7 linked regions of the Macaca mulatta genome follow. The protein of the gene in region 3 binds, or shares a complex with, the protein of the main gene of each other region. Links are inferred from orthologs where the notes say so. Each region holds a gene or a part of one and is shown on either strand. Other genes may lie near its edges. The genes, in order: DPF3, PHF10, ARID1A, DPF1, SMARCC1, ACTL6B and SMARCC2.

Evidence for each region.
Region 1: ARID1A (region 3) and DPF3 share a complex: the UniProt entries of both Homo sapiens proteins name them as parts of the neuron-specific chromatin remodeling complex. The link is inferred for Macaca mulatta from reciprocal best matches to the Homo sapiens genes ARID1A and DPF3.
Region 2: ARID1A (region 3) and PHF10 share a complex: the UniProt entries of both Homo sapiens proteins name them as parts of the neural progenitors-specific chromatin remodeling complex. The link is inferred for Macaca mulatta from reciprocal best matches to the Homo sapiens genes ARID1A and PHF10.
Region 4: ARID1A (region 3) and DPF1 share a complex: the UniProt entries of both Homo sapiens proteins name them as parts of the neuron-specific chromatin remodeling complex. The link is inferred for Macaca mulatta from reciprocal best matches to the Homo sapiens genes ARID1A and DPF1.
Region 5: ARID1A (region 3) and SMARCC1 share a complex: the UniProt entries of both Homo sapiens proteins name them as parts of the neuron-specific chromatin remodeling complex. The link is inferred for Macaca mulatta from reciprocal best matches to the Homo sapiens genes ARID1A and SMARCC1.
Region 6: ARID1A (region 3) and ACTL6B share a complex: the UniProt entries of both Homo sapiens proteins name them as parts of the neuron-specific chromatin remodeling complex. The link is inferred for Macaca mulatta from reciprocal best matches to the Homo sapiens genes ARID1A and ACTL6B.
Region 7: ARID1A (region 3) and SMARCC2 share a complex: the UniProt entries of both Homo sapiens proteins name them as parts of the neuron-specific chromatin remodeling complex. The link is inferred for Macaca mulatta from reciprocal best matches to the Homo sapiens genes ARID1A and SMARCC2.

What each region holds. Positions count from the first base shown.
Region 1 is NC_133412.1:145,837,123-145,840,926, forward strand, and holds part of DPF3 (zinc finger protein DPF3), read right to left. Parts: intron 819-3,804; coding exon 681-818; intron 1-680. UniProt on the Homo sapiens protein: Belongs to the neuron-specific chromatin remodeling complex (nBAF complex).
Region 2 is NC_133409.1:2,316,571-2,320,374, reverse strand, and holds part of PHF10 (PHD finger protein 10), read right to left. Parts: intron 1,837-3,804; coding exon 1,683-1,836; intron 1-1,682. UniProt on the Homo sapiens protein: Involved in transcription activity regulation by chromatin remodeling. Belongs to the neural progenitors-specific chromatin remodeling complex (npBAF complex) and is required for the proliferation of neural progenitors.
Region 3 is NC_133406.1:214,203,032-214,206,541, forward strand, and holds the end of ARID1A (AT-rich interactive domain-containing protein 1A), read right to left. Parts: coding exon 2,002-3,510; 3' UTR 650-2,001; downstream 1-649. UniProt on the Homo sapiens protein: Involved in transcriptional activation and repression of select genes by chromatin remodeling (alteration of DNA-nucleosome topology).
Region 4 is NC_133424.1:49,289,797-49,293,600, forward strand, and holds part of DPF1 (zinc finger protein neuro-d4), read right to left. Parts: intron 3,144-3,804; coding exon 3,065-3,143; intron 2,858-3,064; coding exon 2,726-2,857; intron 1,688-2,725; coding exon 1,637-1,687; intron 1,544-1,636; coding exon 1,424-1,543; exon of another isoform or gene 1,103-1,423; intron 451-1,102; exon of another isoform or gene 1-450. UniProt on the Homo sapiens protein: May have an important role in developing neurons by participating in regulation of cell survival, possibly as a neurospecific transcription factor. Belongs to the neuron-specific chromatin remodeling complex (nBAF complex).
Region 5 is NC_133407.1:111,044,824-111,048,627, reverse strand, and holds part of SMARCC1 (SWI/SNF complex subunit SMARCC1), read left to right. Parts: intron 1-679; coding exon 680-793; intron 794-2,200; coding exon 2,201-2,354; intron 2,355-3,387; coding exon 3,388-3,501; intron 3,502-3,804. UniProt on the Homo sapiens protein: Involved in transcriptional activation and repression of select genes by chromatin remodeling (alteration of DNA-nucleosome topology).
Region 6 is NC_133408.1:47,859,167-47,863,736, forward strand, and holds the start of ACTL6B (actin-like protein 6B), read right to left. Parts: upstream 2,971-4,570; 5' UTR 2,949-2,970; coding exon 2,924-2,948; intron 2,494-2,923; coding exon 2,417-2,493; intron 2,202-2,416; coding exon 2,036-2,201; intron 1,734-2,035; coding exon 1,633-1,733; intron 1-1,632. UniProt on the Homo sapiens protein: Involved in transcriptional activation and repression of select genes by chromatin remodeling (alteration of DNA-nucleosome topology).
Region 7 is NC_133416.1:63,314,257-63,318,357, forward strand, and holds the end of SMARCC2 (SWI/SNF complex subunit SMARCC2), read right to left. Parts: intron 4,084-4,101; coding exon 3,702-4,083; intron 3,114-3,701; coding exon 2,685-3,113; intron 2,154-2,684; coding exon 2,077-2,153; 3' UTR 758-2,076; downstream 1-757. UniProt on the Homo sapiens protein: Involved in transcriptional activation and repression of select genes by chromatin remodeling (alteration of DNA-nucleosome topology).

The sequences.
Region 1 (3,804 bases), on a different chromosome or scaffold from region 3:
CAAGTGGAAAATGCTAAGCCCTTTTGGATTCCCTAATTCATAATTGGAAGTTGAGGTAGGAAAGCACAGAAATGGAAACACAAATCTTCAGGATCACTTTGGGTCTGGAGAGCCCAACATCCCAAACAACAAATCCACCCAGATCACATTTGCCATTTGAATGCTGAAGGAAAGAACATGGGGTCTCCAGGCAGCGTTTCTAAGGTAGGAGAGCCCTGTACCAAAATGTGATCCCCCCCTCTCTACAACAAAACCACACCAATAGATAAGAATACTCTAAGGCTCTTAGTGGCCAAGCAGGCATTTCGAATGTCTGTCTGAACTGATACACCCATGACCTATGCCCAACCCAGTCTGAGTGGCTCTTGAGGAGCTGAGGGAAAAGAGTTGTAGGTCTGGCATCTGACAGTGGCCAGGTAAGGACTTTCTCTTCTGCTTAACACCTTCCTTCCTCTGGGAGCAGAGCAGGGTGTGTGAGCCCAGCCCTGCTATTGTTGGGCTGAGCTGCAGGGGCAGCTGACTGGCTGGCTGAAAGGGCCAATGCACTACAGCACATTGAGACCACTCAAAGTTTGCTACCAGAAGATGCTAGCGCAGCAGTGAGAAAAAGGAACAAGGAACGCTCCCCAGCCTGCCTAACCCACTTCTTCACTGCCCCAACCTAACAAGTAGGCACTCACGCCTGTGGTTCTCATTTCTGTGGTTGGGTGGGGACCGAGTCTCCTGGTCTTGAGCTTCATCCCCCTCCTCGCTGGCCAGGTGGGTGTGAGCATAGTGGTAGCTGAGCCCCGGTCGGTTCTTGTAGCGCTTGCCACAGACTAGAGAGGAAAAGAGGAAAAAAGGGAGAAAGGCAAATATTAGCAACCTGTGCAGCCACTGCTATCATTCTCCCAGACAGTGACCCCATCCATCCACCCCAGAGCCAGGCTTCCCTTAAAACTGTCTCCCATCCTAACACCCCTTTCCCCCACCCAACAGAACCAACACCCTTATAACAACTCAGCTCATGGAAAGAAAAACTGTAAAAGTAAAACGAGGTTAAGAGCTGCGTGAGCACTCCACTGTTTCTAGCTGTGAGACCCAGGGCAAGTCACTTGACCTCCCTGTGCCTCAGTTTCTTCAGAGATAAAATGGGAATACTAACAGTACTTACCTCACAGGGTTATTGTGATAAGTTTATCTCTATGCAAAGTACTTAAAACAGTGTCAGGCATGTTGTAAGGGTAATTGTTATAACGTTGAATTCAAAGGACACTGGGAATCTACCCAATCCAACATCCCATGACACAGATGAGGCAAGTGAGACCCAGCAACGCCAAGTGACTTGCCCAGGAACACACAGCTAGTGTGGCAGAGCCACCAGAATCCATGTCTCCTGGGTTCCTGTGCACTGTCCCTTCCACCACCCCATGGTTGGCCTCTGCAAGAAATAGAAAAGTTTTATCTGGATAATACTTCTGATGTCTCACCCAGTGATTTTGTGCCAGAAACACATGCTCCACTTCCACCATGAACGCCATGGAGTTAAAGCATCCTTAGTGAGTGTAGTCACCAAGAGCTGGTGCTCCTGATGCCCTAGGGCAGCCAAATCTGTAAAATGTGCTCTCACAAGTACTACCTCTCAAATGGGGCAATTTGAGCCAAGGGCAGCGAGCAATCAAAATGTGCCTTCTTGGAGCCAAGAAGAAAGGGCAGCAGTTCTGTTGGTTAGATGCTCAGTTCCTGGGAAGCAGAAATCTGGCTAAATGGCTCAAGGTCACACTACCACCCTCAGCCTCCCCACGTACAGTTGATTATCTCAGCCCCCAGGGGGACGGCATTGCTGGTAGCAGAAACCTCGAAGAGTCTTCCCAGTGAAACGTCCATGCCAACCTTCTATGCTTGCCCCCCAGCCTGGGTCCCCATCACAGCCAACCAAACTGCTCTGCTGGAGTGCTTGAAAGTTACAAATTCTAAAAGACTTCTCCCTTGGGCTGACATGACCGAGTCATACAAGGAAGCATAAATGCTTCACAAGGTGGGAAGAGCACAACTTCAGCAGCAGGCCTGGGTTCAAATCCCAGTTCCAGCTGCTGAGGTTCACTGGCTGTGTGGTCCTGAGAGTATAGAGAAATGCTGTTATCCAGTCATCTTCTCCAATGATATTATTCTGATAATTATTACTTCTGATAGAGTTACTTCCGATATTACTTATTACTTCTGATAGAGTTTCTCTTCCTACCAGATTCTCTTGGAGTTTTTCAGTAGACAAACATTGGCCAAGATAATGTCATCTCTTCTTCCCCATATTTACAGAAACTGTTTGATCATAGCTTAGATCATTTGTAAGAACCACCAAAACAATATTTTTAAATGGCAAAAGCAAGCATTTCCAATGTTAACGAAGGCAGATCTAGTGTTTCACTGTTTAGAATGATGTATCTGGCTAATTTTTAGTCTTTACCACATTTAAGTAGTTCCTCTTATTCCTGTTATAGAGTTTTATTATAGGAGAATTCTAGCAACTACCCTTTCAGCATCTACTATAATATGACTCTCCTTTAGTTTGTTGATAAGGTAAATTACGTTGATTTCCTAATATTTCTTATTATTGAACCATTCTTGAATTCCTAGAATGCACTCCATTTGGTCAGAGTATATTGTTTATTTGATATACTGCTGCATTCTGTTTTCTAATATTGCATCTTGAATCTGTGCTAAGACTTGAGCTCGATCTATAATTTTGGGACTATCTTTTATTAGGTTTCAATTTTATGGTCATGTTGATTTCTAAAAATGAATTGAGTTTTGCTGCATGATTTGGACAAGCTGTAGCTCTGTGCCTTTTCTTTTATCTGAAAATGAGGATAACAGTACTTACCTTGAAGGATGGGTAAAGGGATTATAAATAGCATTTGTAAAGCAGTTCTCTCAATACCCAGCATAATAGATGCTCAGTAAATGGTAAATGAGGGGCAAGGGCTGTCAGCATTTTTTGCTGCATCTTAAGTACTGGACCTTCCTGAAAAGAGGGACTTTGACCCTTGCCTCATATTATAAAGTCTGGCAATTGGTTGGACTTCCTTGATAAGACAAGAGGAGAGTCTGAAATTCAAGTTGGTGACCTAGTGACTATAAATTCAAGGCCCAATGTTTAGCTCCCACTTATAAGTGAGAACATACGGTATTTGATTTTCTATTTCTGCATTAATTCACTTAGGATAATGGTCTCCAGCTGCATCCATATTGCAAAGGACATGATTTTGTTCTTTTTTATGGCTGTGTAATATTCCATGGAATATACTAAACACTGGGTACACACAGACATGAAGATGGAAATGACAGACACTGGGGGCTCCAAAAGAGGGAAGGGAAGGGAAGGAAGGGGACAAGGCTGGAAAAACTACCGGTTGGGTACTATGTTCAGAATTTGGGTGACAGGTTTAATAGAAGCCCAAACCTTAGCATTATGTAATATATGCATGTAACAAACCTGAATCTAAAAAAATAAAAAATTAAAATAAATAGGCCTATCATTGGCTACTTACATTCATATATTCTCTCTTCCACTCTCTCATAAATATTGTAAAAAAACAAAATTAAAATAAAATAAAAGAGTACTATGCATCTCAATTCCATGTGACTCAGGAAGCCGGACCCAAAGAGGCCCCTGAGGTGCACTGTGGATCTGCTCGTGGCTTTTTCTATTTAGCTTTTTGGATAATCTGAAGTTAATACACAGCAAATTATGGGGTCATTGCATATAAATCCATTTAGTCGCCAAGCATACTGTTAGTAAGGAATAAATGTTTACTAAAAGTAATG
Region 2 (3,804 bases), on a different chromosome or scaffold from region 3:
AAATATATTGTTACAAATAAGTGTGGGTATTTTCACTGAGTACTAAAAGTCATTAAGAAGGTCCTTCAGGAAAAATGAAGTGCTGCAGTTAAAAAAAAAAAAAAAAAAAAATTCCTTCGAGTACACATTTGTGTTTTCATAATGTTAAACCATGCAGAGCCAATCCCTCAACTATCTACAACAGGATGTGAAAGATTGCATATATTCAAGGTTTAAGACCTCAATATCTAATGATTTAATTCTTCATTTTATAATTTTAAATTTTCTAATTAGAACTTTCATATAAATTATGAAAATTATAAATGAAAAAATTAGATTATCTAGAGCCTCCCTGATAAACACACACTGACTAGAAACATTAATATATCCACTTCATCTTTTTTCTGGGTGTCCACTTATATACATAAAGATACCGAGACTCACACATACCCCCTAACCTCATTGTGCCCTCATTTTTTAAAACACAAAACTGGATTACACTGCGTGTGTATGCATGTGTGTGTTTTGGTATTTTTTTAAAAGCATTATGTGCATGTTCTCACAATCATTAAATATTCTTTGAACTGCATTTCTATCCTATAAATGTAATATAATATTACCCACTGTGGGCATTAAAATTTATTTGTAACTTCCAGGATAAAAAATACTGTAAACACTCAAACAGACCTTTTTATTCTAATTAAATTTTTTTCAGCATCTGATTAAATCCTTAGGATAAATTCTACTAGTGGATTTGCGAGGTCAAATTCTGTGGAACTTAAATTGGTAAGACTGTCAAAACGCTTTCCCATAATGTTGGATTAGTTTCCACTTTTCCTAGCAGTATGAAAGGAAGTCAGCTTCATCCCCCTTTGCATGCCATAGCTCCCCTTTTAGCAACATAACAGGAGAAAAGTTGTATCACCACTTTAATACTTGAACAGCATCTTATTTTGCATAATATGTATTATTAAAGATGTTTTAGAAGCTGCTGGGGACAAGGAAATAATGTCCATTCAATGGTAGCACAACCTCACATTTAGATTGGCTTCAATGAAAAGTCTGAAATAGCCAGTTACTTAAAACACAATGCTAAAGAAATTCAAAGCCCTATGTCATCACTGTGATCAAAGCCCTAAACCATCAAGGGGATTCTGTTCTCCTTCAGATCCACAGAATTCACCAGCTGCCCATTGTTTTGCAAGCGCATTTTGCTACAAAAAAAGAGTCATACAGGAAAACCCAACAAATTGCACAACATATTACTAAACACAATATTTTCCTATAGGAAGCCTAAGATTAAGCAAAAGAAACCTAAGTTAATGCACTCCCCTAAACTAAGAAAACTACATTTCTGTGTCAAGAGATCAAATTCTGTTTTGTTCAATATTTTAAGCTAAAGAGACAACAAGTTGAATAAATGACTGTAAGCTAATTTTCCAATATCCTTGCCTAAATCGCTCATGGTAACTACAAAGGGGCGATTTTAAGTATAAATCTTACCAAAGGCCACACACGGCTTGTTTTTTATCAAAACATACTATAAATAACTTTTCTTGATGAATACCTTCTGGAAATTACATGCAACCATCCTTTTTCAAAGAGAGGGTGATGACAGAAGTTCAATGTAACATTCCAGGAAAGCAATTAGCAAAAATTCAAAGAGAAAGGAAACGCTTCCCACTAGAGAGAAATGTTCTCACCGAAGTGCCTTTATTTTTCCGTTTCTCGTCACCTCGACCATCTTCGCCATCATCTGAATCACCGTCACTGTCTAGAGCAGGGAGCTCAGGATCCAGAGGGGGCTCATATAGGGCTGTGTTTAATGGCAGATACCGCAGCTCATCTGGTGAGTACCTGAAGTTCAGAGCGTTTATTTTTGGTTTCCCTTTATTATTAAATATAAATAGACTCATCGTTGACCTATGAAGAGAGCCTTAAACTTCTTGAGTAACTCCAAAGACTTCCGAAAAATAGAGTATTAATTTTTAATTTTTGTCATCAAGTAGGGTTAATAAAAAGCCTGAACATCTTTTCACTAGACTTATGTAAAATATGCATTTGATTCTAAGAGATAATGCGCCTCTCCTCTTTGCCCTCAACCCAAAAAAACAAAACAGTAAATAAAATGTCAGTAGCCCCAAGTCTGACTGCCAGCTCACATCCACGTCCACCACTGTTCCAGGTCTTTGCTACTTCTCTGTGCTATCACTCCACTTGTAAAACAGGCCTAATAATAGCATCTACCTCATACACCAGTGCATGGTACATGATATTACTTAATATTAATATAGAAAGCAAAATTTTTAGTAACAAATTATTGTAAACAAATTTGGGAAGCATGTATTCTAAAAAATCTAATCAACTATTTTTTCTGAAACTAGATTGGCAATCTCTTCCCCTAGGTCAGACAGCAATGCTTTGTGCCACCTCCATTCTCACCCTCAGTAGTCCTCATTCAGGAAGCGACCCTGGATCAGGACTTCTCCAACTAAGACAACACACCAAAAAGCAAAGGAGTTGGTATACTTGCATATGACTTTTAATAATTTGCTGACACCAGAGTAAAATTTTTAAAAATTTAAGGCCGAGTGCAGTGGCTCACGCCTGTAATCCCAGCACTGCGGGAGGTCAAGGTGGGCAGATCACCAGAGGTCAGGAGTTCGAGACCAGCTGGCCAACAGAGTGAAAATCTGTCTCTACTAAAAATACAAAAAATTAGCCGGGCGAGGTGGTAAGCACCTGTAATCCCAGCTACTTGGGCGGTTGAAGCAGGAGAATCACTTGAACCCGGGAGGTGGAGGTTGCAGTGAGCCGAGATCGTGCCACTGAACTCCAGCCTGGGTGACAGCATGAGACTCCATCTCAAAAAAAAAAAAAAAATTGAAGAAAAACTTTTAAAAAAACTGCTGCCCATGATTTAAATTTGAATTAAAAAACCTTTTTAATTTAAAAAATTTCTGCCCAAGATGTGACTTTCAAATGGTGTGAGTTATGATACTATACTTTAAATTCTATTCTCTAAAAAAATAGTCTATTATGAAAAACATACGGTTCCAGAGTAAGGCTTAAGGTTGAAGTAAAAGCTGAGACTTTAAAACAAAATGGGCTGGGTGCAGTGGCTCAGGCCTTTAATCCCAGTACTTTGGGAGGCCGAGGTAGGCGGATCACAAAGTCAAGAGATCGAGACCATCCTGGCCAACATGGTGAAACTCCACCTCTACCAAAAATACAAATAATTAGCTGGGCGTGGTGGCATGTGCCTGTAGTCCGAGCTATTCGGGGGGCTGAGGCAGGAGAATCGCTTGAACACAAGAGGCAGAGGTTGCAGTGAGCCAAGATCGCGCTACTGCACTCCAGCCTGGCAACAGAGTGAGACTCTGTCTCAAAAAAAAAAAATCTGTTAGCCCTGTTTTTTTTCAGTTACATTCAGTTTGGGAATAGGAGATAAGTAGCATTTAGGGGCCAGATTGGAGCAGCAGCCAGGCCAGGTCAGCAATGTGGCTGAGGCACCTAGGTGCCCGTGCCTGCCCCTCTGCTCCTTCTCTCATCTTCTCTGCAGTAAAAGTCAGTGTTTCTCAAACTCTAACCTGCACGTGAATTATACAGACATCTGTTAAAATGCAGACTTTGAGTCACAGGTCTAGAATTGGGCCTGAGATTCTGCATTTCCAACAAGCTTCTGAGCAATAATAGTGCTCTGGACCACAGAACATACCCTGAGCAGTGAGGTGCTATAGAACTCCCAGCATCTGTCTCTGACAAACCCAAACAAAATAGGCAGAGACAGAGGCATCCAGATTTCATCAGCATATATTCAAATTC
Region 3 (3,510 bases):
TGAGCCACCGCGCCCGGCGAGTCTGGATTTTTACTTACTCAGAGCCAGAAGCACTGAAGGCATTTTATCTGACTTACCTTTTATAGGGGTCCTTTTGGTTGTTCTGTTGAGAATAGGTTCAACCAGGCAAAGCAGAAGCAGGGAGGCCAATTTGGAGGTATTTCAAGAATCCAAGATATAACAGTGTCTTGAACTACAGTAGTAGTGCGGGATTGAGGATTACTTTGTAGAGTGCTAACAGATTGGATGTGGAAGTGAAAGAAGTCAAGGATTTTTTTGGCACGTGATAGAATGGAGTTGCCATTTACTGAAAGGAAAACACAAAAAACCAAAACTATGGTAGAAGCAGGTTTCTAGTGGGGGAAGACAGGACATTTTAGCTTTGGCATGTTCAAAGTAAACTTCCAAGCAGGGATGACAAGAAGATGGCTGAATGCTCTAGTCTGGAGTCAGGGAAAAGAGCCAGTCCAGAGATATTACAAGTGATTAAGTTGGAGGTTGCCTCCAGATAAATGGTTGTCTTATTTTGGACAGATGCCACTATTTAGGGGAGATCTCACACTAAGGGAGGTTTGCAAAAACAGGACTACCTCCTACCCCCCGACAAAGGTCAAGTTTTAGTTTGAAAATAAAAAGCTTCACAAAAGTCTTACCAAGATTTAATGTACATTTATTCTTAACACGTGGAACATATAGTATAAAGATTTCATACTGAATAAATGATATTCATTAAGCCAAAAAAGGAAAAAAAGGAGGAATTTACATCAAGTTTTAGCTACATTGTTGAAATACAAATATGCAGATTTTATCACTGAAAAAATCTCAATTGTGTTTCTTCATCAGAACTTCAACTGAACCTAGAACTTTTTCACACCTCGATTAGAAAGAAAACAAAACAAAACAAAAACCCAGAAAAAAATAAACTATAAGTTGATTGGCTGCTGAGACAGCAAGGACTTTTTACAGAGACCTGTACAGCATCGCACCAAGAGGGGCGATGTCTGGCAAGAGATTAAATAGCTGTGTCTCGCTTTGTGCAGGTCACCAACTTGTTAACTCGTCATACTATAAAGGGGTAGCTGGGATGAGGACCAAACTGTGGGGATCCAAGGGTATGTGCAATGTACAACGTCATATATATACACACGTGGCAGCGCAGCCGCTGCAGCTAAAGGTTAAAACCAGTTCTAAGAGGTGATCTCAGGGTTATTCATACAATCAAGGAGGAGAGAAAGAGGTCAGGGTGTTGTAGGTTCACACATGATACTTTGGGGGAAAAGCCTTTTTTTTTTCTCCTCAACGTTTAACTAAAAACATTTTTAAAAACTACAGCTTGCTGCTGACCCAGCGTTTTCTCGTTTCCATGTGAGACATTATTATTACAGTATGTTTACAGTATCAGGTGTACAGTACAGTACATGAAAGGGTCTACACTCTACTGCACAGGCCTCTCCAGTGAACAGGGTCTGTTCACAACTGCGAACTTCTTGGCTCCTGCAAGATTGTGAATGTACAACAATAAACCACACACAGTTCAGCAGTCACCTTTTTTGTCCTTCAGAATTTTTTTTTTTGTATTTTTTTCCTTTTTTCTTTTTTACCATTAAAAACAGTTATGAAATGTGGCGTCCCGTTGATGCAAGGACTGGGAAAGCCATTTTTATTTTATTTTTTTTTCCCCAAACTCACTGTAAACAACAGTAACTTTGGTTAAAATAAAAAAAGTCTTCTATGTAGGCAGAGCTTTGTCTTTTCAAAGAGGGTGGGGTGGGGTCCTGAGGGGAGTAAGGTGAGGTCAAGGAACAGAAAGGCGTGAGGTGGTGGACGGGGAGAGGCGGAAGGAGGAAAGAGAAACAGGAGAGACTTTTTCCCAAGGGAGAAGCTGGACAGCACAGGGTAAACTGGATTCTGAGGTGGTTTTGCATAAATAAAGGGCAACAGTCAGTTTCTAAGTTCTCCACACACGCACACACACACAGGGGGGGAGGTGTCCCACGGCTGTCATGACTGGCCAATCAAAAACAGTACATCACAAATGACTTGTGAAACCAATGAGTTCATCAACGGTGATACCGAGATGTCCAACAGCCGTGATTCGTACAGAGTAAACTCTGAGTGGTTCTCGTCCACCTTGGCCAGGGCAAGCAGCGCGCGGGCAGCCCGCCGCATCATGTCCACACTAGTTGGCTCAAAGGGTGGGTTCTGCATGTGGAGGAGGCTGGCCTGGCTCTGCTGGAACTGCGTGGCGGCAAGGCTGTCCTCTAGGAAGCCCAGGAGGTTGCCGATACTGCCTTTCTGCACTGCAATGGCACGAGCTGCCAGGCTGTCCCCCTGAGCCAGGTTGGCCAGCAGTACCACAGCCATCTCCCGGCACACCGGGTTCTTTCGGTCACTGAGGAAGCGCACCATAGTGCTATACAACTTCTCCAGGCGACTGAAGGGGGGTGTGGCCAGAATCAGGTCCACATTGTTGTCCTGGATGCTGAGTTTGCTGAGGGTTTCCAAGACCAGTCTCTGCGGGGAAAGGACGGCATTGGGGCCCAGGGTGGAAAAGGGGTCCTGGGCTTCAGCTGAAGGGCAAACTGCCCAGTGTAGGAGTCCGTCCAGGACAGGCAGGCAAATGCTCTCGGGGTATGGGGATAGGTCCAACTGCCCCGAGATGTTGGCGAGTGTAACCAAGGTGTTTTCCCGGAGCATCTCCAAGCAGTCCCACCACCACTCCACTTTGTTGCAGCTCACCCCTTGGTCCTGTTCCTCCTCCTTCTCATAAGTTAGTGGTGCCTGCTTCCGTTCTGGGTGCTTGTGGTGCAGCAGGATCAGCTTGCCCAGGATGAGCAGCAGCCCTGGGTGTTTGGACATCTCAAAGTCATTGCCTGGCACAAATGACAGGCTTCGAATGGTATTGGAGACACAGACACAGCGCTTGGCAAGAGAATCCTGCCAGTCCAGAAGGGTACACAGTGGGGTCTCATCCTTACTGTGGGGTTCGTCCTCTAGGATCTTGATATTCCGGTGGCTCTGTGCTGGGCTAATGCCAAATGGAAACTTGCTGCTCTCCTTGATGGCCTCTGAACTCTTAGCTCCATCCTCGGTCAAGGTGCTAGACCGAGTAGACAACATGTCATCCATAGTGGCTGTGATCCGTTTTTCTGGAGGTCCATCAGGTGGGGGTCCCTCCTGGTCTGTTGTCCCTGGCGTACCCTCTGCTGTTGTCACATGCTTCCGGGGGGCTGGTGGGCAGGGTGCATGAGGCCGGGAAGGCAGCAGCTCTGTCTTGCTTTCGAAGTGGGTCTGGATATGCTCAGTGGTGTCCCCCCCACCAATCCGCCAGTGCAGCAGGCCACTGTCAAACTCCTGCACACGCCCAAGCTTATCTGAGCAGTCCACCACAAATGGGTCATTCTTCTGTACGATCTTTACTGGAAGCTTGTCAAACTTACTGATCAGCTTCTCCTCACTATTCTCTGAAGCTGGCTTGTCCTTGCCTGAAAAGGCTATCTCCTCATCATT
Region 4 (3,804 bases), on a different chromosome or scaffold from region 3:
GTTTTGGTTTTTGAAACAGGGTCTCACTCTGTTGCCCAGGCTGGAGCACAGTGGTGCCATCAGAGCCCACTCTGCAGCCTTGACCTCCCGGGCTCCAGCAATCCTCCCACCTCAGCCTCCCGAGTAGCTGGGACTAATGGGGTGCGAAACCATACCCAGCTTTTTTTTTTTGAGACGGAGTCTTGCTCTGACACCCAGGCTGGAGTGCGGTAGTGCGATCTCAGCTCGCTGAAACCTCGGAGTCCTGGGTTCAAGCGATTCTCCTGCCTGAGCCTCCAGAGTAGCTGGGATTACAGGCACGCGCCACCACACCCAGATAATTTTTATATTTTTAGTAGAGACGGGGTTTCACTATGTTGGCCAGGATGGTCTTGATCTCTTGACCTTGTAATCCACCCACCTCAGCCTCCCAAAGTGCTGGGATTACAGATGTGAGCCACTGCACCCGGCCTATTTTTTTTTAATAGATGGGCTCTCATTATGTCGCCCAGACTGGTCAAAAACTCCTGGGCTCAAGGGGCCGGGTGCAGTGGCTCATGCCTTTAATCCCAGCACTTTGGGAGGCCAAGGCAGGCAGATCACCTGAGGTCAGGAGTTTGAGACCAGCCTGGCCAACATGGTGAAACCCTGTCTCTACTAAAAATACAAAAATTAGCCTGGCATGGTGGCGTGTGCCTGTAATCCCAGCTACTCAGGAGGCTGAGGCGCAAGAATCAGTTGAACCCAGGAGGCGGAGGTTACAGTGAGCCAAGATCGTGCCAATGCACACCAGCCTGGGTGACAGAGGGAGACTCCATCTCAAAAAAAAAACCTCCTGGGCTCAAGCAGCCTCCCACCTCAGCCTCCTGGGTAGCTGGGACTAATGGGGTGCGACACCATGCCCAGCTAATTTTGTTTTTAATAGATGGGATCTCACTATGTTGCCCAGACTGGTCTCAAACTCCTGGGCTCAAGGGAGCCTCCAGCCTCAGCCTCCTGAGTTGCTGGGATTACAGGTGCGCAACAACACACCTGGCTAATTTTTAAATTTTTTGTAGAGATGGGGGTCTTGCTATGTTGCTCAGGCTGGTCTCAAATTCCTGGCCTCAAGTGATCCTCCCACCTCTGCCTCCCAAAGTGCTGGGATTACAGACGTGAGCCACTGCACCCGGCCTCTCACTACTCTTGATGCCATGCTAAGCACAGGCCGCTACCCACAGTGCCATGAGAGCCACATCCCGTTATCCCTGAAGCCTCACTGATCCGATCCAATTCCCACCATCCTCAGCAGTTGCATCAGCCTCGCTAGCTCTGGTTATCCCCAGTATCCCCTACACGCTCGGGGTCCCCTCAGTCCTCACCACCTTGCCTCCCTCCCTCCAGGTCTGCACTCCTGAATGTCCTCTGCACCCGGCCCCCAGAAACCTCAGGTGGGGAGCGTCACCTGATCGCCCACAGTCTGCACAGGAGATGAGGTCCTCGGGACACCCCGTCTTCTTGGAGCCCCCCAGGCAGAAGTCACAGTAGCCGTTGGGGATGACAGTGCCGTCGGGCGCCTTCTTGGCTGCAAGACAGCGGACAGGCATTGGCACGGGGCAGGCAAGGGCACCCCGCAAAGGTGGCTGCAGACGTTAGGAGCAGAAGGAGGCGTCCATACCTGTGTGTTTCCTTTGTGCCTCAGGGACCCAGGCCAATTCTTTGTAAAACTCTGGGGTGAGGGGGACAGAGAGAGGGACTCTCACCACAGGCAAGGCTCCACCCTGCCCCCAGCCTCAGCCCCAGGGATGGACCTCTTAGTCCAGGTGTGGGGAGATGGGAAGAGTGAGTAGCTACCCTAAGCCGTGGGGAGAGGCGAAAACAGTTCTCATCGGGACTCCCAACTCTTCTTTTTATTTATTTATTTTTTTTCAATTAAAAATAAAAGCAGCATCTTGGTATGTTGTCCAGGCTGGACTCCAACTCCTGGCCTCCAGCGATCCTCCCGCCCCAGCCTCCCAAAATGGTGGGATTATAAGTGTGAGCCACTGCACCCAGTCAGGATTCCCAACTCCTTGAGACAACTGACCCGTCCTCTTTATTGGGTCAAAACTTGGTAAAGACAGCGTGAAGAAGGGCTCCCTGCTTCCCTTCTCACATACATGTCTCCCAGCCACCCATTTCCAAGTGCACCCTCAGTAATTTGTATCTAACAAATTCAGAGAGTACCCCGAGCCAAGATCTGGTACAGAAACAGACACTCAGAAGAAAAATTCTGAACGCCGAGGTGCCCAGGTGTGTAGTGGCCTGGGGTGAGGACACTCAGCCTCTGCCTCTGAGAGATGCTGCCTCTCCCAAACCCTCCTCCCCGCCCCCATCCCTCAGCTGTCAGAACTGGCATGGGATTGGCACGGGCGGACGCCAAGGGCTCCCAGGTCACAGACCCTGCCCCTTGACCAAAGCTTAGCCGAGAAAGGAGAAAGGGAAGGCAGGGCGGGAGGGGAGCCATCTATCACACCCCCCCTCCCCAAGCTCTAATTGAAACAATAAATCAGACCCAGAAATATTACGCCCGGCCGGGAGCGAAGGAGCGATGGTTGGTTGCCATGGCAACCCCAGAGCCAGCATCCCCATGGTCGGTGGGGGGAGGGAACGGCTGAGCTGGAGATTTTCCAGAAATGTCTAATGCCCCCCCACCCCCACCCCCAGCTGGGCTCCTCTTCCCCACTCCCAGGGCCCCTTACCACCCCCACCTGGCCTGCCAGCTCACGTTTATGGTTGTTTTTCCGGTGGAAGGGCAGGGCGTGGCGTTCGGCGTTCTCCTCCCCCTCCTCCTCAGCCAGGTGGGTGTGGGTGTAGTGGTAGCTGAGCCCCGGCCGGTTCTTATACCGTTTCCCACAGACTGGGGAGCGAGCGAGCCAGGAGGGCCTGTCAGCCCCTCCAGGCCCATGCTGCCTCCACCCTGGCCTCCAGGATCACACCTCCCCCCCTCGGCCAGAGACCTGAGCATCCCCCCAACCCGGGTCTGGTACAGGAGGCAGAGGGCCACAAGGTGGGGATTCTCTGGGCCCCCCTCTCTCTGCCTTTCCCCCTCTTCAGAAGGACTCACTATCACAGACATACGGCTTGTCTCGGTCCTCCAGGGAAGCGGTGTCCTGGCGTTTCCGAAGACCCCCGATGCCATATGCCTGTAGGGAGAGTCAGGAGTGAGAGGCCAAGAAAGTAAGAAAACAGGCCGGGCGCGGCGGCTCACGCCTGTAATCCCAGCACTTTGGAAGGCCAAGGCAGGCGGATCATGAGGTCAAGAGCTCGAGACCACCTTGGCCAACATGGTGAAACCCCATCTCTACTAAAAATACAAAAATTAGCTGGGTGTGGTGGCGCATGCCTGTAGTCCCAGCTACTCAGGAGGCTGAGGCAGAAGAATAGCTTGAACCCAGGAGGCGGAGGTTGCAGTGAGCTGAGATCACACCACTGCACTCCAGCCTGGCGACAGAGCAAGACTCTGTCTCGAAAAAAAAAAGGAAAAAAGAAAGTGAGAAAACAGAGTCTTTTGCAAATTCAAATTGCAGCTCTGCAAATGTCCTAGCTGTGGGGCTTCAAACCTCTCCAAGTTTTAGCTTCTTCCTCTGCGGCACGGGGATGAAGGTAGCTCTAACCCACTGCATAATCTCTGCTTTGCAAATGGCTTAATACAGATGAGCCTCAGTTTCCTCATCTGTAAAATGGGTATTAAATCCCCCACCCCTGCAGGCTGTTCTGGGATTCAATGAGGTCAGACTGTGGCAGGGGCCGACCACTGCGCCTGCTCCACGAATGAGACCTGTCATTAAGGGGAGCAGGGGAGAG
Region 5 (3,804 bases), on a different chromosome or scaffold from region 3:
CTCATGGATTCTACTTGTTGCCCAGCCATGATCTCCCTTAAAGAACTGCCACGAGAAGTTACATAGCTATTTTCAGAGCCAAATCCACGTGCCACATTTGAAATACAGAAGTGATAGGCAACAGAGGTTGAGAGCATAGATTGAAGAGCCACCACACTGGGTGCGATGAATTCTGGCTCCATCAATTACCAACCCTGTGGCTAGGACAAATTCTCTAACAACTCAGTGTTTGTTTCCTCACCCATAGATGGGATGATAGCAGACCCTACCTGCAATATGGAGCGATTATGAGGATTCAGTTGTCAGACATACATTGCTTATAACAGTGCCCTGCACACAGTAAAGTATAGATATGTGGTAGTGAGGCAGATAGCCTATGTAACCATGTGTTAGTTTCAAATTCTGCAGTTAACTACCACCATGACCAAGTTTGAATTTATGTTACTTCACATGAATGTCGTTACATTACTTGTTATTATACATTAGTAAACAGTTGTTTTGCATATTTGTGGTTCTAAATTCACTCATAACTTAATATGCAATATAATATCACCGTTTTTTTATGCTCTTGTCTTAATTTATTGTATTTCTAAGGAATCTGAAGATTTTTGAGTTTCTGAGTAACATTGTTTCTGAAAGGATACGTGTCCACCTTATGAATTTTGCCATTGCTTTTTAGATACTTGGCATATCGAAATTTTATGATTGACACGTATCGCCTAAACCCCCAAGAGTATTTAACTAGCACTGCTTGTCGGAGGAACTTGACTGGAGATGTGTGTGCTGTGATGAGGTAAAATGTTTGACTTTTTCTGAGACATTTAACTGTAGGAATTTACTTATGCTTTGCTGTCATATTAAACTGGTTGTTTCAACTGGGTAAAACACCTAATTTTAGTTGTGTCATTTAGGGGTGGATTATATTTTGTTTCCTTTCATTTCATTCAATTTATTTTATTTTTATTTTATTTTATTAATTTAATTTTATTGTCGAGATGGGATTTCATAATGTTGCCAAGGCTGGTCTCAATCTCCTGGCCTCAAGCAATTCTCCTGCCTCGGTCTCCTGAAGTATTGTGATTGCAGGCGTGAGCACTGTGTTCAGCATTAGAGGTTGAAAATTTAAAATATTTAATTTAGGCTGGGTGCAGTGGCTTACGCCTATATTCCCAGCACTTGGAGAAGCCAAGGTGGGCGGATCACCTGAGGTCAGGAGTTCGAGCCTGGCCAATATGGTGAAACCCCTTCTCTACTAAAAATATAAAAATTAGCCGAGCGTGGTGGCACATGACTGTAATCTTAGCTATTGGGGAGGCTGAGGCAGGAGAATTCAGGAGGCAGAGATTGCAGTGAGCTGAGATTGTCCCACTGCATTCCAGCCTGGGCGACAGAGCGAGATTGTGTCTCAAAAAAATAAAATAAGTAAGATAAATATTTAATTTAGTTTTCTAGATTTTACAGTTCACATTTTAATTTTTTTAGTCAAATCATAAAATAACCAGGGAAGGAGTAGATTCAGGTTGGGAGTGGATAAACTCTGCGCCCTAGCTCTGCCAAAAAAAAAACAAAAAAAAAACCCGCCAGGTACAGTGGCTCACACCTGTAATCCCAGCACTTTGGGAGGCCGAGGTGGGTGGATCACCAGAGGTCAGGAGTTCGAGACCAGCCTGGCCAACATGGTGAAAGCCTGTTTCTACTAAAAATACCAAACATTAGCTGGGCATGGTGACGGGCACCTGTACTCTCAGCTACTTGGGAGGCTGAGGCAGGAGAATCGCTTGAACCGAGGAGGCTGAGTAGGTTGCAGTGAGCTGAGATTGCACCATTGCACTCCAGCCTGAGAGACAGAGCGAGACTCTGTCAAGAAAAATGTGGATTTTTTCTATGTGTGTATTTGGTCTGTGTGTGGGTTCTTTTATTACCATGGACCTAAATGCGTATTTGTGCTCTCATTTCTGTGATTTAAATGATTAAACTTTGTAATAGGTTTGGGGGGTGCTGTGTTATCAACATTATTTGTGGCTTGTAGAAATTGTTCCCTACATAACAAACAAAATCTGTCAAGTAATTTGTGGTGTTTGATAGCCTGCTGAGCACATTTACTTGTTTTATTGTTTCTGTTTTTTAATGGTGTAATGATGATAATAAAGCACATGAAATTGATTCTTTAGATTTTAACTTTCCGAGCTTTATTCTTTAGGGTCCATGCCTTTTTAGAGCAGTGGGGACTCGTTAATTACCAAGTTGACCCGGAAAGTAGACCTATGGCAATGGGACCTCCTCCTACTCCTCATTTTAATGTATTAGCTGATACTCCCTCTGGGCTTGTGCCTCTGCATCTTCGATCACCTCAGGTAAATTAATGTTGACTTTTCATCAGACCTGAATAGTAACAAATGTCTGTTTATAGCATATCTATTTAGGAATGCTGTTGTTAGTGCTGTTTCTTTGATGCTTGTTTGTATGTGTGTTTTGGTGTACTGTAAATATTACAGTCCAAAAGAATATATAGTGTTTAAGTTAATGCTGTCCCACCAATCCCAAAACCCAATGCCTTAGTCTATCAAATTATTAATTTACTTTTATATGCATAACTCCCTTTATCCTTCTGTCATCAAAAAGACACACATAAGTAAGCAGATGATGCAAAATCTTCTTTCCCTTCCTTCAGTCTGTGTTCTAGAAACGTGAAGCAAAGAAATCTTTATAACTTGTCCTAAGATTTGTAAAGTGGACATCCATATATACATTATCAAACAGATTATGTCAGACAAATTCTGTATAGCATTAAGTTGGATTCACAGGAACCTAAGGTATAAATTTTGTTCCATTGTGAAATAGAATATAGTAATGAAAATTTGTTATCCTTTCTGGACTTAAGGGACACCAAAATGTAACTTGTATGTTGAATTTTTGTTAGAAGTATAGTGTAGAAGTGTGGGTATTTATTGTTTTTCGTAGGAAATCCACCAAGAGTGGCTTAAGTTCCAATATTAACCTTTTTTTTTTTTTTTTTTTTTTTTTTTTTTGGAGACAGAGTCTGTCTCTGCTCCCCAGGCTGGAGTGTAGTGGCATGATCTTGGCTCACTGCAATTTCCGCCTCCGGGTTATAAGCAATTCTACTGCCTCAGTCTCCTGAGTAGCTGGGATTATAGTCACATGCCACAACGCCCAGCTAATTTTTGTATTTTTAGTAGAGATGGGGTTTCACCATTTTGGTCAGGCTGGTCTTGAGCTCCTAACCTTGTGATCCGCCCGCCTCGGCCTCCCGAAGTGCTGGGATTACAGGCATGAGCCACCGCGCCCGGCCTAAACAAATTTTAAAAAACGTTTACCCTCTTGACTTTAAAGAGGCTAACTCAGCCGTTTATCATTTATTTGACTCAGGTTCCTGCTGCTCAACAGATGCTAAATTTTCCTGAGAAAAACAAGGAAAAACCAATTGATTTGCAGAACTTTGGTCTACGTACTGATATTTACTCCAAGAAAACATTAGCAAAGGTAAGGATTTTTTTTCTAATCACATGTAGGCTACAATCCAGCACATCTTAGTCCTTCTAAGATACATCTGATGAGCTTTCTACTCAAATCTGATGGTATTTTTAAAAACAATTATGATTTATCTTACCTTTTATATTCCCATATGACTTAGTAGATAGGTATTTTAAAAATAACACTATTAGAGAAATTCGATGGGAAAATGGAGAATTTGAAGAGAGAATTGGAATCTGTAAAAAGAATCATGAATATTTTAGAACTGAAAAGTATACTTGAAATTATTTGATAGGTTTAACAACAGACTGC
Region 6 (4,570 bases), on a different chromosome or scaffold from region 3:
AGTTCTAGGAAAACAAAAAGTTGCACAAGAAAGGAAAAGTGATCATAGTGTATATTGCCTGTCTCAGACCTGATTAACATACATAGTAATAAAAATGTAAATCTTGGGCTGGGCACAGTGACTCATGCCTGTAATCCCAGCACTTTGTAAGCTGAGGTAGAAGGATCGCTTAAGCACAGGAGTTTGAAGCCAGCCTGGGCAATATAATGAGACCCCATCTCTACAAAAGATTCTCTTAAAATTATTTCTAACTTAAAAAGAGTGTAAATACTGAATATTGATTTCTTTCAAAGTCTAAAATACAACTGGGCTGGGTGCAGTGGATCCCACCTGTAATCCCAGCATTTTGGGTGGACGACCCGGGCGGATCGCTTGAGCCCAGGAATTCAAGACCAGCCTGGAAAACATGGTGAAACCCTGTCTCTACAAAAAATTTAAAAATCAGCTGGGCGTGGTGGCTCATGCCTGTAGTTCCAGCTACTCCGGAGGCTGAAATGAGAGGATCACTTGAGCCCAGGAGACCAAGGCTGCAGAACTGTGCCACTGCAATCCAACTTGGGTGATAAACTGAGCGGAGCCCCTGTTTTTGAGACAAAATCTCAAAAACAAATAACAAACAACAACAACAACAAAAACAACAACAACAAAACCCACTGTACTTAAAGGAGGGTAATAGAAATATGTTGTGGCATAGGCTGGGGAGGAAAAAAGAGCTAAGTGATCATTTTCTAGAGTGGAAAATTCATTGATAATATCTAAAACTAAAAACTCCACAGGCAGCAATTTAAGTGTAATATTAGAGATATGGAAGAAAATACCCCCAAAATTAGCTAAAAAGGAGAAAAACAGTTGCTTCTATAAAGAGGAATCTATAAGGATATGGGTAAGAACATTTTTTAAAATGCAGTTAAAAAATTTTTTTAATTGTTATTGTTTTGATAAAAGAGATGGGTCTTGCCATATTGCCCAGGGTGGTCTCGAACTCCTGGGCTCAAGTGATCCTCTCGCCTTGGCTTCCCAAAGTGCTGGGATTACAGGTGTGAGCCCACATCCCCAGCTCACCAATGTTGACCAAAATAATAATAAGTTAAAAGGTCTAAAAAGTACTTGGAGGCTGGGCATGGTGGCTCATGCCTGTAATCCCAACACTTTGGGAGACCAAGGCGGGTGGATCACCTGAGGTCAGGAGTTCGAGACCAGCCTGGCCAACATGGCAAAACCCCATTTCTACTAAAAATACAAAAAGTTAGCCAGGCATGATGGCAGGTGCCTGTAATCCTAGCTACTCGGGAGGCTGAGGCAGGAGAATCCCTTGAACTCGGGAGGCAGAGGCTGAGATCTCACCATTGCACTCCAGCCTGGGTGACAGAGTGAGACTCTGTGTAAAAAAAAAAAAAAATTAAAAAAGGACTTGGAGATGGAGAAGGGCAGCAGAGTAGATAGAACAAGAAGAGAGCAGGAGGGATGGAGACTTAGGAAGGAAGGAAAGTGGTTGGGATGGGTGAGGGGAGTCTGAAAAGGGAAGGGAAGTGGCTGACATCGGTGGCTTGAGGGGAGAGGAGGAGAGGTGGATGGTGGGAAGCAGGTGCAGTGGAGATCGGGGTTGGACATGGGAAGGCAGGAGGCACTCACCGGGGCCTCGGACATGAGCACGGGGTGCAAGTTTGGCTCAGACTTGACGTGTTTGCTGTAGGTATGATCCAGGATGGCTCGGAAGCACTCCCAGTCCTCGACTGGGGCCAGAAGAGCAGAGTGGAGAAAGGCAAGAGGGCAGGCAGGGGTCAGGGACAGGAAGAAAAGGAGGGAGAAAGGCCAAGCCCAAAGGAGGGTCAGTGAGTCCAGGCCCAGGGGAACGTCCCCTCTTCCCAGAAACCTGCTGGGCCCCTGGGAAGGGAACCCAGCGAGAAGAACCCTGGCAGCGAGAAGAACCCTGGGGCTGCAAGGAAGACTCCTTGGGGAGTGGGGGCTGCTATGTCCCAGATCGTGGGGAGTGGGCTCCCTATCTGTCAGGAGGTGATGGGTGGGGGCCCCTTACTCATGCCATTCTTGAGGGGCGACATGACCTCCGCTCCATCCCGAGGCACGTGCAGGGCATTGGTGTCGATGTGGAAGATCTTCCCTTTCTTCTCTTTGTCCCCCTCCAGCTCCAGCCCGCCCCCCTCCTCCGCGGCCAGCAGCCCCACCGTGGTGGGGAAGTCAGCCTGGTGGGGAAGGGTTGGGGGAGGATCGGCAGGAGAGGGGTCACCCTCTTGCCCCTGTCCAGCCCCACGGCAGGGTCCTCAGCCCGCCCCTGGGTTTATTCCCACATTCCCGCTCAGCAGAGCTTCTGGGCGATCTGGGAGAGCCCTGGGTCACTGGAAAGCCTGAAGAAGGGTCCGGAGCCCCTAGGATTTAGAGAGGAGACTGGAAGGCTCACCTTGGGACAGTCCTCCCCAGCGTACCCAGCGCGGACTGAGAAGGAGCCAATGTCAAAGACCAGCGCCCCCACCTCATCTGTGAGGGGAGACAGGCCTGTAAGGGGACCTCCCCCGAAGTTTTTCCCGCTAGGTAGTTCCGAGAGAAAGTCAGGGCAGAGCCACAGACTCGCCACCTTCAACACCAGTCTGGAGCCGGTGGGAACTGGGCCTGGAGTCTGAGGTCCTGGGACTGGGGGTGGGGGCATCATACCGCCAGGGTCCCTTCTTGCCCACTGGCCTTGCTCAGGCCACCCTCCTGACGGGAAAGGAAGGGGCCGGGGCCAGGTGGAGGTGGGTTGTAAGGTAGAGAGGTTCGGCCCGGTGCGCACGAGAACGGAGCGCAGGGGAGGCGGGAACCCGAGCCTGAGACTGGACCCGTTCATGCGCGGAGGTGACAGGCCCCGGGGTGCCCAGAGCTCGGATGGATGGCGCGGGTTCGGAACGCAGGGGGCCGGAGGCTCGCTCACCTCCGCCGTAGACGCCCCCGCTCATAGTGCCCTCTGCGCTGCTAGCGGCCCGTGGGCGGTGGCGGGATCAGCACCGAGGCGGCCGGACAGCTCCCGGGATCCCTGGCGGGGCGGGGCGCACGGCGACCAATTGGGAGGCCGGATCCCCCGCCCCCAACGGCGCCGCCGATTGGCTGCCAGGCGAGACAATGACCGGACCGGGGGCCGCGGATTTAAAGGGGAAGATACCCTCCGTTAGGCGACCAGGAGGAGATGGGGCAGGGGGCGCCTAGCAGGGACTTAGAGACCGTCGCTAAGGAACGGGCGGCAGAGAGGAGAGCAGGGCAGAGGTGGAGACCAAGACTCTGCAGGACGACTGATGAGGTCCCTACCCCCTTGCTTTTTGTTTTTATTAAATTTTTTGGTGGAAACGGAGGTCTTGTTACGTTGCCCAGGCTGGTCTCGAACTCCAGAGCTCAAGCGATCCTCCTCAGCCTAATAGCAGGGATTACAGGCAGGTGCCAGCACACCTGGCAAATTAAAAAAATTTTTTTTATGGAGACAGGGTCTTGCTCAGGTTGATCTTGAACTCCTGGCCTCAAGCGATCCTCCCACCTCAGCCTCTCAAAGTGCTATGCCCGACCTCTACCCCCTTACTTTTTAAAGCAAGACTGGGGAGAGAGCTCCACTCCCCAGAAGGGTCATCTGTCTTCAGGCTGCTCTGAGCCCGGTTCTGCCACACCCAGGCCTAAATGGAATTGCCGGGAGAGGGAGGGAAGGGAAGATTAAGAGAGGGACCAGAGGGGGTGGGGGTGTGTCTCCATCTCTCTCTGTTTTTTTCTTTGTTTGTTGTTTTTTTTTTTAGAGACTGGCTGGTCTTGAACTCCTGGCCTCAATGTCCCAAAGTGCTGGGATTAAAAGCATGAGCCACCGTGTCCAACTTCCCTCCTTTGTCTTTCGCTGGCCCCTCTTTTCCTTGCCTTGCTCCACCCCTACCCCCACCACCCCAGTACCTGGGCGTTATACATGTGTACACATGCTTACACACATATACATACGTTCACACACAGCCCACCTGGCTTTAGCTTCTTTTCTCCATCTCTCTGTCTCTTCAGCGCCTATTTTCCTAAGGAGGCATTTATCAACAAGAGGGTTTTTGTTTCTTTTCTTTTTGAATTGGGGTCTTCCGTCACCCAGGTTAGAGTGCAGTGGCACGCTCACAGGTCACCGTAACTTTGAACTCCTGGGTTCAAGTGATCCTCTCGCCTCAGCCTTCTGAGTAGCTGGGACTTACAGGTGCACACCACCACACCTGGTTTTTTTTGTTTGTTTGCTTGTTTTAGAGAAGGGCCCTCACTATGTTGCCCAGTCTGGTCTCTAACTCCTGACCTCAAGCGATCCTCCCACCTTGGCTTCCTGAGTCATTGGGATTACAGGTGTCAGCCGCAGCACCGGACTAACAACAGGGTTTTCTACTGCTTGGATCCCAGGTTCTTCTGGGCTCCTGGCACCACAGTTTTGGTAGCAAAGGCAAAGGAGCAGCTCTGACAACTTGGGGTAGCTGAGGGACTCTTATGTGAGGGTGCATGTGTCTGTATGTATGTGTCTATGTGTGTTGGCGTATGGGTGCATGTGTGTACATATGCACATATGAATGCTTGTGTGTGT
Region 7 (4,101 bases), on a different chromosome or scaffold from region 3:
AGGTGGTGATGATTTCTGCCCTGAGGCAGAGTCCAAGGTCAATGGTGCAGGGGTTGAGGAAAGCTGAGGCAGGAAGCCCCTGTACTAGCCGTCTGGGCTTCATTTAAAAACTGCTGGCCCCATTCATCCATCTTACACAAGCTACCTCTTGGGAGATTAGGAAATCTCCTACTAGATTGGTCCTACCTAAGATCCTGGTAGGACCAAGGCTGGCCATCCCTGTTCCATTCCGTATCAGGCTGTCTTCTCCTAGCCTTCCAGCTCCTTAAATCTGGCCCCCGCCCTCCCAAGCTCCCAGTAAGGCCTTTTGTGGGGAAGCCTGTGGAGTGTTTACTGGAGCTAAAACCAGGCCATTATTAGCACTGCCTAAGCCTGTCCATCACCTCAGCAGGGCGAAGGGCCAATAACAACAAAAGGAGGTAAGGGACTTGCCTCCTCCCTAATAAGGGAAGGAGTGAAACCACTACTTCTGAAGGGATAAAGATACAAAATTCCATTATTGTGGGAATGTCCTTCCAAGTCTTAAACAGCTTTTAGGGCAGGTGAGAGCCTCTGCTCCTATACCAGCACACAGTCTTGACATCTGTGCTGCTGTTCGTGTTTTGTGGGGAGGCGCAGTGTCTAGGCCCTGTGGCTTGCATAATGTCTCTGCGGCCCGGGTAAACGCCGCTGTGAAGGACTCCAGGAAAGCTGCTCCAATCCCAGTCCCCCTGCCTGACAGCCACAGGTAAGAAGAACACAGAATGCACCCACAAGATGGAACTGAAAGCAAATTAATTTATAAAAAAAAAAAAAAAAAAAAAAAAAAAAGAAAATTTACAGAAAACTTTGAACAGAAGAAAGGTGCTAAGACGCAGAGGGAGAGAAACACGGGGACATGAGGAACAAAGGGCCTGGTGGAAGGAACCAAGAAGAACCAGTGCAGAGCCTGGAGGCACACCTGCCTTCCAGTCACAGGGGAGGAGCTGGGACGTGGAGCAGGAATGCAGGAAGCAGAGTTGAGCTCCGAGCCAAGGGTTGGTCCAGCCCAAGGTTGGGCACCCTCTTCCACTGCTCCCAAATCCCTGCATCCTCATCTGGGGAGCCCCCAGCTATCAGCTGAAGTTCTCACAGTCTTGGTGGGAGAGGGAGGAGGCTAAGGGGTGACCCACCAAGTCATAATAAGGAGGTGCTTAAGTGCTTTAAAAAACAATTTCAGGTTTTAAAACTTCGCATCCTCTTACAGCTCCCTTCTCTGCGCCTTCCAGGAGTCCATGGATACAGCCCAGGGAAGGAAGGAGAACAGCCCCCACTGCCCTTTCTTCTATTACCTACCACAGAAATCCCCGAAATTAGGTTTTCCCCACCAAATACACATACGCTGACATCAACTAAGCAGGTGACTTTTAAAAACAAAACTGACATTCAGAGGGAAAGGAATCATTGGCTGAGCTGGGGTGGCCTAAAACAGCAACAATGAGGAAGCCGCAGGAGGGATCATTAGTACGAATAAACTCGAATAAGCTCAGTGTAGGGTGGGCTAGGGGAGCTGGGGCCTTGACTCAGTCACTAAAAAGGGGCTTGGGGAGAGACAGAATCTGCACCCTGTTCTATCCCCAGAGCTCTCCCTGGAATTTTAATTCCCCTTTCCTAAAACTCACTCCCCCTCAAAAAATGTAAAAATTGGTTATTTTTTAGTGGGTAGAAGGGAGCTCCAATGTGGCTTTTTAAAATCTACTTTTTTTTTTTTTTTAATCCATAGAAAATGCAGTAGTTTGGAGGGAGGTGTACCCTTAGAAGTGGTTAATAGAACCTTGTATAAACACCTTTCACCAGCCCTTCCTTTAGGGCAGCATTCCCATCCTATCCTCTCTCCCAGACATTAGAAACATCTTTTAAACAGAAGTCCTTGAATAATCTGATATAAAAATGCATGCCTCTGTTAGGCATGGTGAGGGCTTTGGAGGGGCGGAAGGAGCTTTCCTTACGTAGTGATGAACTCTCCAGGCTGGGGAGGGTCCCAGTGGTGGGGGAAGGGCTGTTCCTGGAACCGTGATCTCCAGAGGGGGTGAGGGGGAGAGATGTCTGGCTGGCTCCTCACTGTGGAGGTGGCACAGGGGTGACCGTGCCTGGGCTCGGGGCTGTGGGGTCTGGAGGCAGGGGGGTGCCTGGGTCTGTGGAGAAAAGTAAGATGAATCAGTTAGATTGCGCAGGAGAGAGGGCTCCAGACCCAGACCAATACAGACAGAACCGGGCATGGCATGCAGTGGTTGGGTGGATGAATGAGGTACCCACAATGTTCAACTTCTGTTCCCAACACCCTCTTCTACCTCATACTGAGAAAAACTGATAGAAAGGAGACTCTCTAAATAGGGCATCTGAACGTGATAGGAATAAGCAAAGGGATGACAATCATCATGCAAACAGCTGCTTTTCAAGTTTACAACTGATGCTCTCTGCCACAGGATTGCTCCATGACCCACCAGTGAAAGGCCCCAATACCATCCCAAAGGTGGCAGCTGCCAGGCTGGGGACTGGTGGAGGACAGCCAGAGAGGCCTTTCCTCCTGTATTCTAATTTTACCAGAGTGTTCAAAAAAGACTGTGGAAAGTCTAGTACCTGACCTCTTCCCCCACCTGCCCGCTCACCCTCCCTCCATGTGGACCCCTCTCCCTCACCCTTCTCCCCTCTTGGCCCCTTCTCACCTGGCAGTGGGCTGGCACTGGGCAGGAGGTTGCCCTGAACAGCTGCCACAATGGCAGGGCTTTGGGCTGCGGCGGATCCGAGCCCCGGCCCGAGAGGCAAGGAAGATGGCATGGTGGTGGTCGCCGGCAGGTTAGGATGTAGAGGGTTCGCCATGGACACAGGCAGGTTAGGTGGGGGGAGAGTGCCCGGGGCGAACGGGAGATGGTGGTGATGCCCATGCAGGTTAGGAGGAGGGGGGAGGTTAATACTGATGGAGTCAGCTAGACTACCAAATGGGATGATGGATGGAGCAGGAGGAGGAGGAGGAGGCGGCATGCCAAAAGGCAAACCCAAAGGAGCATTACCCGCCACGCCTGGGTGCCCGCTGCCTGGCACTGCCCCTGGCATCATTGAGGGAGGAGTTTGTTGGTTGGGGAACGGTGAGGGGCCTAAGAATAAAGATGAGAGATGGAGAAAGTTAGGTATAAAATGTTGCTTAACAACTCTTTTCTTTTTTATTTTTCTTTTAGACGGAGTTTCACTCTGTCGCCAGGCTGGAGTGCAGTGGCACGATCTTGGCTCACTACAACCTCCACCTCCCAGGTTTAAGCAATCTCCTGCCTCAGCCTCCAGAGTAGCTGGTACTACATGCGCCCGCCACCATACCCAGCTAATTTTTGTATTTTTAGTAGAGATGGGGTTTTACCATGTTGGCCAGGATGGTCTTGATCTCTTGACCTCGTGATCCACCCGCCTCTGCCTCCCAAAGAATAACTCACTTTTACAAACAAGGATAATCTAGCCATTCCTTGGCTCTGTCTTCCCTTTTTCTGACACTAGAGTAAGTGAACAAAATTCCAAAGCTCTCGAGTTTGGGGAAGGATTCCTGCTGGTTTAGGGGCCTAAGAGAGATGGGCCCATCTATAGAAATTGAGGCTAACCTCATCTCCAGACTCATCTTGTATTCCCTTTGAGGGGAACTGGGACATTCACCTGGATTCTTCTAGTCAACAAAAGTTCTGGAACATGACACTTACCATGGGGTCCAGGGGGGGGAACCCCTGGTGGGACTGCCCCAGGCTGGGGGGCTCCAGCTGGTTGCTGCTGCTGTGGCCCTGCAGTTGACCCTGCCTGCCCAATCTGTTCAGAAGGGCCCAAGCTTCCTGGAGGGGCCCCACTGCCAGCAGGAGCAGGGACTACAGAGGCTGGAGCCACAGCCAAGCCATGGACTGCGGGTGGCCCAGCAGCCCCTGTCGGGGGGATAGGCTGGGAGCCTGGGGGCAGGGCTGGCGGTGGCTGCTGCTGCTGTTGGTGCATCTGTTGGAAGTGCTGCTGCCGAGCCCTCATCTCCGCATACTTCAGCTGCTCCATGTGGAAGGCTTGTCTGTCGGCCAGGAGCTGCTGCCTCTGATACTCCAGCTGCCAGTGCCAATTGTG